Linked DNA regions of Rhinolophus ferrumequinum. The protein of the gene in region 1 binds, or shares a complex with, the protein of each later gene. Links are inferred from orthologs where the notes say so. Each region holds a gene or a part of one and is shown in the gene's direction. Other genes may lie near its edges.

Region 1 (3,744 bases):
GGGGCAGAGGAATGCTATTTTTTTTCTTAAGAAATATGCTAGCACCATTAGGCACTGTTAAAATAAATAAATAAGTAATTTAATAAATCCACAAAAAGGCAGTTCTATAGCCAGGCTGCCTGGATCCAAATCTCACCTCTACCATTTGGAAGCTATGGAATCGTGGACAAATTTAAGTGTTTGATCTCTCTGAACCTCAGTTTTCCCATCTGTGAAATGGGAAGGATAACAGTAACTACCACGTAAACTTTTTGTGGGGACCAAGGTAGTTCATGAATGACAAGGGCTTGGCCGGTGAGTATCCTGTAAATGCAAGTTTCTTGCTGCTATTCCCAGGCTTTCCCAGACCAACCTAATTTCCCTTTTGGTTTAGTTAGAGCAGAGCCACCTGGCCACTCTGGAGACCCTACTGACTGACTGACTGACTGACTGACCGACTGACTGACTGCTTGACATTGGGTGTGTCTCTTCTGCCAGGGGCCTTTAAAGATGGCTTCATAAGGGCCCCAAACTTCTCCAGATCCCCCAGGCTCAGGATGGCCCTGAACCTAGACTCCCAACCCCTCCCCTCTGGGGTTCATGGCTTTGTTTTCTTCTAAAGACCCAAGATTTCCAAACTCTGTGGTTGCTTTGCCTAGTAAAAGGGGAAGAAGGGGATCGGCCCAAGGAGGAGGAGGAGGAAGAAGAGGGAAACAAGACAAATAGTTGGTGCAGTGGAGAGGAACGTGTCCAGCCAGCGTTCCTGGTCCCTGCGGAGCTAGCAGCTGGGAGTCCAGTGCCTGCCCACCCTCCAGCCCTGCATTGGCCTGCTGCCTCCCCACTGAGGCCATGGGCCCTGGGGCTCTGCTGGTCCTGCTGGTGGCCACAGCTTGGCATGGTAAGAGCAGAACTGAGGGCCCTGGGCGGAGGTGGGGGGAAATGTGACAGAGAGGGCCCCTGTGTAAGGACTCTGTAAATCCTTTCCCCTCACTGGGTATATGCACTCGGGGCTTCCATCTCCGCCTGGATAGCAGGTTTGTGGCTATCTGCTCTAAAAAGGCAGTAGAGGGCAAAGACAGTGTGGGTGGGATGGAAGCAGCCCAGCCAGGGCTGTGGATCAGTCCCAGCTCAGATGTTGACTCCCTGTGTGTCCTGAACCATCCCCAATGCTCTCAGGGCTTCAGTGTCCACATCTATTCAACAACAGGCATTGGGAGTGGTGATGACTAGACTAAAACACAGTTTTTCACATTTTACCGGGCATGCAAATTACCTGGGGATCTGGTTAAAATGCAGATTCTGACTCAGTAGGTTTCAGGTTCTACCTGAGCTTCTGCGTTTTTAACAAGCTCCTGGGAGACACCAGGGCTGCTGGTGCAGACCTACACTGAGTAGGGAGGCCCTAGAGAGTCCCTAAGGGCGCTGCCAGCTCTGCTGGCCTGTGACTCACTGATTCTAGGCAGTACCTTATTTGGGAAAGCCCAAAGCGGCTGTGGTCTTCCTTCCCGCGGGAGGCCTGGGTAAGGGGTGAGAAGGAGGGATGAGTGAGTGAGCGGGGATAGGGTGGGCTGCTGTGAGGGAGTTGGGGGATGAGGTCAGAGCACCCCTGATGGGGAGAGACTCGCAAAGATCCTGGGCTGAGGAGGGGCTGTGTCCCAGACCCTGGGGTGTGTGTGTGTGTGTGTGTGTGTGTGTGTGTGTGTGTGTGTGTGTGTGTGTGTGTAGGGAGAGAGGAGCGGAGGTTCAGGGACATCCTGGGGCTGATGATGGAGGGGTCTGTTGGGTAAGTGAGGTGGGGGGAGGTTTGGGGCATGGAGAGAATTGGGGGGCTGAGATGAAAGAATGAAGACTGCACAGGTGCAAAGTGGGGCTTGGTCAGTGTGCATCACGTCTGAGCCCCCACCCCGGGGAGGACAGGGCCAGCCAAGCCAGCACAAGGGAAATTGGAGGCGGACGTTGAGGGGGTCAGCCCTGTCCTGCATGAATATCCGGGACAACAGGACAGGACAAAACAGGACAAATGCCTCTTTCTGACCATATTTCCAGGAGGCCGGGGCAGGGGCCAGGGTGACTGGGCAGGGGAAGGGGAGGGAGAGGCGCCTGTGAGTCGGGTGCAGAAGCGGAACGCAGAACCCGAGACCCTGGGATGTCACAGTCACAGACTCAGACCTTTAAAAGTTAAAAACTTTAGATATCAGAATGTCAGGACCAGAAGGAAGGTGAGAAATGCTGCAATTGAAGCAGCAGCGTAGGGCAGGAGCAGCTGATGAGCGAGGAGCTCTGTACCCCCTCACTGAATCCTCCCAGGATCTCTCAGAGGTGGGAACGCAGATTATTCCACTGGCCCGAAGGTCAGAGAGGTGAAGGCACTACCCAGCCGGTAAGGAAGAACCAAGTTTCAGATTCACATTGGTGTGACCCCACAGCCCAAGCTCTTCCCTGCAACAACCCCCGAGTCTGGGGCCTGCAGTGCTGCAGCCGTAACAGGGCAGCACCAGCTCTGTTGGGATTTGCAGACAGCCTGCCAGAAATCATGCTGCCCCCTTCCCTGGTTGTCACATGGCACAGGATGGCTATACGCCCCAGGTGTTGACCTTGGTGGTATCCACCAATTCACTCAATCCTTTACGTTGATTAGAAGCTCAGGTTAGAGAGGCTGCACGATGGGTAGAAAATAAAAACATAAATTAAGCCCTCCCGAAATCAATTGACAGAGAAGCTCTTTGTGATTTGGGTCTATGGTGGGGGTGAGGGCAGATAAATTCATTTAAGGAGCTGTGTGCAGGACCTTGGAGAAGCCCTGAATTCATTGGATGCCCTCCAGGCTGGAGTGTCCATGTTCCCATCGTCACAGCCAAGGGATTGCACTCACCAGGGGCACATAGTGGGTCAGTGGCAGGGCCAGGCCCCGAAGCCCAGGGAGTTCTGATGCCCAGCAGGTGGCATTGTCTTTCCTGGGAGTCTCTCTCCTGGAGAGGGGACAGTGGCCAGGAGGCCCAGGAAGCAGAAGTGAGAACATCCCAGGGAGAAGGGCCGCAGGCAGAGCGGAAACCGGGGGCCAGGCCAGGCGCCAGCAATGTGTTTCCGCCTGCGCTGGCCAGGGCGCCTGGCCGCCCCTTCAAGGTCTTGAATCAGCTCTCACTTCCCTCCTTTGCCCTTATTTTAGGCCCTGGAAAAAATGCTGACACTGCAGAGGCAACGGGCTTTCATCCCAGAGGCCCTGATATGGGTTTCAAGTTCTCTTTTCTCCTTCAAGAAAATTTTCCTTAAAAGAGATTGGCTCTCCAGTCAACACAGCAGTGCTGGGGTGTAGGGCTGGGCTGCTGAGGTAGACTAGATAATAAACATAATGGCTAACTCTTACTGAGTGTTCGTGTGGTGGCAGGTGATGTTCTAAAGGCTTTCCATGCGTTTAAACCTCCTGACATCTCAATAAATGGGTACAATTATTGTCCCCATTTTATAGGTGGGGAAACTGAGGCACAGAGCCTCTGAACTATCCTACTGTGCTACAGACCAGACATCCAACAGTGGGAGCAGACACACCAGGGAACTGGAACCTTTCTAATTCTGCTGGGCCAAGGTCCTATGCCTCTGTTCCTCTCCCCCAAATAAATTAAGCTGGATGACTTTGCCATAAACACTCCCTCTGTCTCTTCCTTTGCTTGTTTGAGGCCCCTGCTTTGATCCAGGCCCTGGGCTGAGCACTAAGGATTCAGCCCACTTCAGGAGGCTGAAGGAATCTACTCCTGGGTAAAAGAATGA
Region 2 (3,744 bases), on another chromosome or scaffold:
CAGGTTCATCTTATTAGGCCTCCGTTACAGTCATTCTATGTAGAGACAAAACGTGATCAATCTTCTCAGTAAATGCATTTCCAAAAGCTCCAAGGGAAATCTAGGGGCCAGGGGCCAATCGCCCTATGTTTTAGCGATCAGCAGGGAGCAAGGGTACCAGCCAGCATTTACATCACCCGCAGGTCAAGTGCCCAGAGTGCCCCTGGCACACAGCAGAGCCTCCCAGCCCCCTAGCCCAGGACACAATCCTTCCCCTCCTGGTCAGGTAGCTAGCCTCCCTGCCTGGACCATGCCCCAAGAATTGGAGACAAGACCCTAGGAGGGCTGCTTGGGGGCTCCTCGGAAGGAGGGGACTGCCTGCAAACCCGCTGACTCAGGCTCCACCAGGTGCGGCTTCGTGCACAGCCGGGGAGGCTCCAGTCTTCAGTGTTTGTCCCTGTTCTCAGCCCATTTCCTGGTCAGATTTGGGAATTTTCAGGCCTAGAGGGAAAGTCCCTTGAGAGGAATGTTAGAAAGAGGGAGAGAGCACCGGATCCGCCTGGAAAGCCCAGAAGGAAAGGAAAGGAAGGGAAAGGCTCGGTGCCGCAGCGCGCTCGCGGAGGGGCGCGAGGCGGTGGAGCCCGCGTTACTTTGCCGAAGGCTTTGGAGTTGAGCACAGAAGAAAAGGCCACTGGAAGACTGGCGGGGAAGCCCAGCCCAAGGGTGGGGGCGGGGAGGCGGCTCAGTGGGCCTCTCGAGTGTGTCTGTGTCTGTGTCAGTGCGCGCGCGCGCGCGCGCGTGTGTGTGTGTGCGCGCGTGTGTGTGTCTGGCGCCTGTCCAAGGTGATTTCCCATAAACCACATGCCCCCAAACTCCCTTTAAAAGGCTGTGCCGAGGAGCTGGCCGGTGGAGCCGGCTGCGGAAAGTGAAAGTCAGCCTGGTGCTCTCCACGCCGCCGCCGGCCCTCCGCACTCCCAGGACAGCGGTGCGGCCCTCGGCGGGGCGCGGACTCGGCGGCGGCCAGCGAGCCAGCGAGTGAGCGAGGGCGGCCGACGCGCCGGGCCGGGACCCAGCTGCCCGTATGACCGCGCGGGGCGCCGCCGGGCGCTGCCCTCCCACGGTAAGCTGCGGCCACGGCGGCGGCGCGGGGTCGGGCTGGGACGCGAGCTCGGCGGCGGGCGCAGCCCCTCGAAGCCAACTGCGTCGGCACGCAGGCTGCCGAGGCTCTCCAGCCGCGGCCGCGGGTTCCGGCTGCCAGCCCATCTTTGCGTGCGCTCGGACTGCCGGCGCGGCGGGGTTGCACTCGGGCTGACACCGGAGGCGGCCCTGCAGCTGCTCCGGGGGCTGCGGCGCTTCCCTGGGAAAGGGAAGGCTGCTCACCCCATTGCACGGAGGGGTACACTGAGCCACTCGCTGGCGAGAGAGAGAGAGGTGTTTGCAGCCACGGGCAGGGGCTCCATGTCCTAGGGGGCCCCTGCCTCTGTCCCTTCTGACGGGCTATCGCTACGGGACAGGCGGGGTGGCTGTGTGCTGAGTGTAGCACCTTCCCCAGTGGGTACCTTCCTCGTCCGCCATGCACATGCTTCCAGACTCTGCTGGGGAGTGGGCGCTTCTGGATGGAGAAAGTTCAGGGTCATCCACTTATGGAATGCCAGGGCTTGTGCCCAGGAACTGCTGGCAGAAGTAAGGAGCTGGGCAAGCCTCTACATGTTACAGCTCATAATCAGGAACTGTTGGGGACTTGGGTGGCTGGATCAATTCTGTTTTGGGGGACCAGACTCCAGAGTTGCCTGGGGCTAGCTCTGAATCTTTTTCTTGCAAACTCGGGTGCAGTCCGTTGGAGAGATCCTGGGCTTGGTGATGGTAGAGGAAGGTAGAAGGAGGGTTTGGTGCTGGGGAGCTGTGGACAGGGGCTGGGGCCGCTCAGGACGGCTCCGGCAAAGTCCTGCCCCCACCGAGGGCAGTGCCTGCTGCAGCTCCTAGAAAGTACATGGCTGCACCGGTTCATGAACAGTAGGTGTCTCCCGATGGGTTTGCTTCTGCGGAACCCTGGAGGAGAATGGCAGGAGAAATATGGGGGCAGAGAAGCAGAAAAATGTTTGGAGGGTCAGGGAGGGAGTTGCAGGTTGTGGGAGAGGGAGAGCAGAGCTGAGAGAGGAAGCCCGGGAGGGCAAGGTGAGAAGCAGCAGGACAAAATAAGGAGCTGGAGGTGAGACCATGTGGAAAGTGAAAAAGAACAGAAAAGGGGGGTAGTTTTAGACAGGACAGCCCAAGGACGCATGGTGCCAAGGTCTCTCCAGGGACCTTACTGATGGGGAAGATGGAACAGACTGGGGACAGGTGAGGATGGACAGCTAGGCTGAGACGTCTCAGCATCTCTCTGAGCCTGCAACAGACTCCTTCCTGGCTGCCCCAGACGCCAAGGCTGGTGTGGGTGGGAGGAAGAAAGAAGCGGGAGAAGAGGCAGCCCAGCCAGATACAAGCTAGAATGTTAACTCTTTGGTGCCAGTCCAGATCCTCCTCTGAGACAAAATTGGGACCCAGGTGCAGGGGTGGCCCCCTTTGGCACCCATAAAGTAGGTCTCCCTCATGGGGGCTGCACTCCTCCCACACTAAAGCCTGAAACAGCTCCAAAACCAGTCTGCCCTTGGGGTTAAGCATTGCCCTCCCTTTGCTGTCCCCAAACATCACTATCTTGAAGTGCTGTGGCAAGGATGTCTTCCTGAGCTTCCCGTCCCCATGGCCCTTTCCTCCGTACCAGTTACACCAGGCGCAGAGCCTCGGTGACAGCCAGCCTGGAGCAGACATACCTTCTGCATGTTCCCGTTTCCTCTACTGGGCCCTGAACCAGAGGTTCCTGAGGACCTGGGCAGTCATTCCCACCCAGGGCTACCTCCTCAACTGCCCAACACAGCCCAAAGGTGCCCCCGTGACAGTCCTCCCCCTTCTACACTCTCCCTTCCCTAGGTCAGGCCAGGAGCCTCACCCATGCCAGTGCTGAATGGCAATGGGCCATCCTGTGCCTCTTCGCTCCCGGCCTCACCCTCCCTCTCTCTGCCACCAACATCTCCGCATCTTTCAAGGTCTCACTAAGGTCCCTCCTCTCTGCAGCCTCCCTGGTAGCCCGGCCAGGGTCTCTTCTCCCTGGTAAGAGCTGGCAAACATTTGGGCTTTTAGTTATATGTACATCAGCAGGTTGTTGTGGGCTGTGTCACAGCCTCCCCGTGTTTTTCCAATGTGCCATTTATTTGCAGTATGTGTCCTATCATCTGGATTACCAAGGCAGAGCCTAGAGCTCAGGAAGGTGCCAGCCCTCACCCCACCCTGACAGCATTTCCCGGGATCTGGGGGCATCAGCTGCCAGGAGGCGACCTCCAGCTGGGGAAAGAAAGCCCAAGGGTTTTTCTCTACCTCTGGTTGGAGAAGGGGAGACTTAGGGCCAGGGAGAGGGCTAAGGGGTGAGGAGGAGGGAGAGAGGAAGGAAGGGGAATGACAGGGTGTCAGAGCCAGTCCTGTCACTCAGGGGGAGCAGCTTCTGGGCCAGGTGGGTGCTGAAAGAGGGGAGAGATCTCAGGAAATGTCCTGGCCATGTAAAGAGTTAGCTGGCTGGATGCAAAGCCTGATGGGGCTCTGATGGCAGGTGCCAGCCGGGGATGGCCTGGAGCTGGTACTGCTGCCTGCCTCTGATCAATTGGTTGGGCTGCTTTTGATACACACAGTCAGGGCTCCAAAGGTCTCTGGCATGGGATCGGTTCCCAGTAAAGC

The links.
Region 2: the proteins of CSF1R (region 1) and CSF1 are in contact, whole or in part, in a crystal structure (PDB 3EJJ), measured with the Mus musculus proteins. The link is inferred for Rhinolophus ferrumequinum from reciprocal best matches to the Homo sapiens genes CSF1R and CSF1. Residues at the interface, in NP_001032948.2 of Mus musculus: Arg142, Arg146, Leu149, Arg150, Lys151, Lys168, Val169, Leu170, Ser172, Asn173, Val231, Gly232, Phe233, Leu248, Ser250, Asp251, Phe252, Asp254, Asn255, Tyr257, Lys259; in NP_001107002.1 of Mus musculus: His38, His41, Met42, Gly44, Asn45, Gly46, His47, Phe87, Gln90, Asp91, Asp94, Arg98, Asp101, Glu110, Arg111, Gln113, Glu114, Leu115, Asn117.

What each region holds. Positions count from the first base shown.
Region 1 is NC_046307.1:22,342,604-22,346,347, reverse strand, and holds the start of CSF1R (macrophage colony-stimulating factor 1 receptor), read left to right. Parts: upstream 1-828; coding exon 829-877; intron 878-3,744. UniProt on the Homo sapiens protein: Tyrosine-protein kinase that acts as a cell-surface receptor for CSF1 and IL34 and plays an essential role in the regulation of survival, proliferation and differentiation of hematopoietic precursor cells, especially mononuclear phagocytes, such as macrophages and monocytes.
Region 2 is NC_046305.1:41,945,210-41,948,953, forward strand, and holds the start of CSF1 (macrophage colony-stimulating factor 1), read left to right. Parts: upstream 1-858; 5' UTR 859-1,060; coding exon 1,061-1,099; intron 1,100-3,744. UniProt on the Homo sapiens protein: Cytokine that plays an essential role in the regulation of survival, proliferation and differentiation of hematopoietic precursor cells, especially mononuclear phagocytes, such as macrophages and monocytes.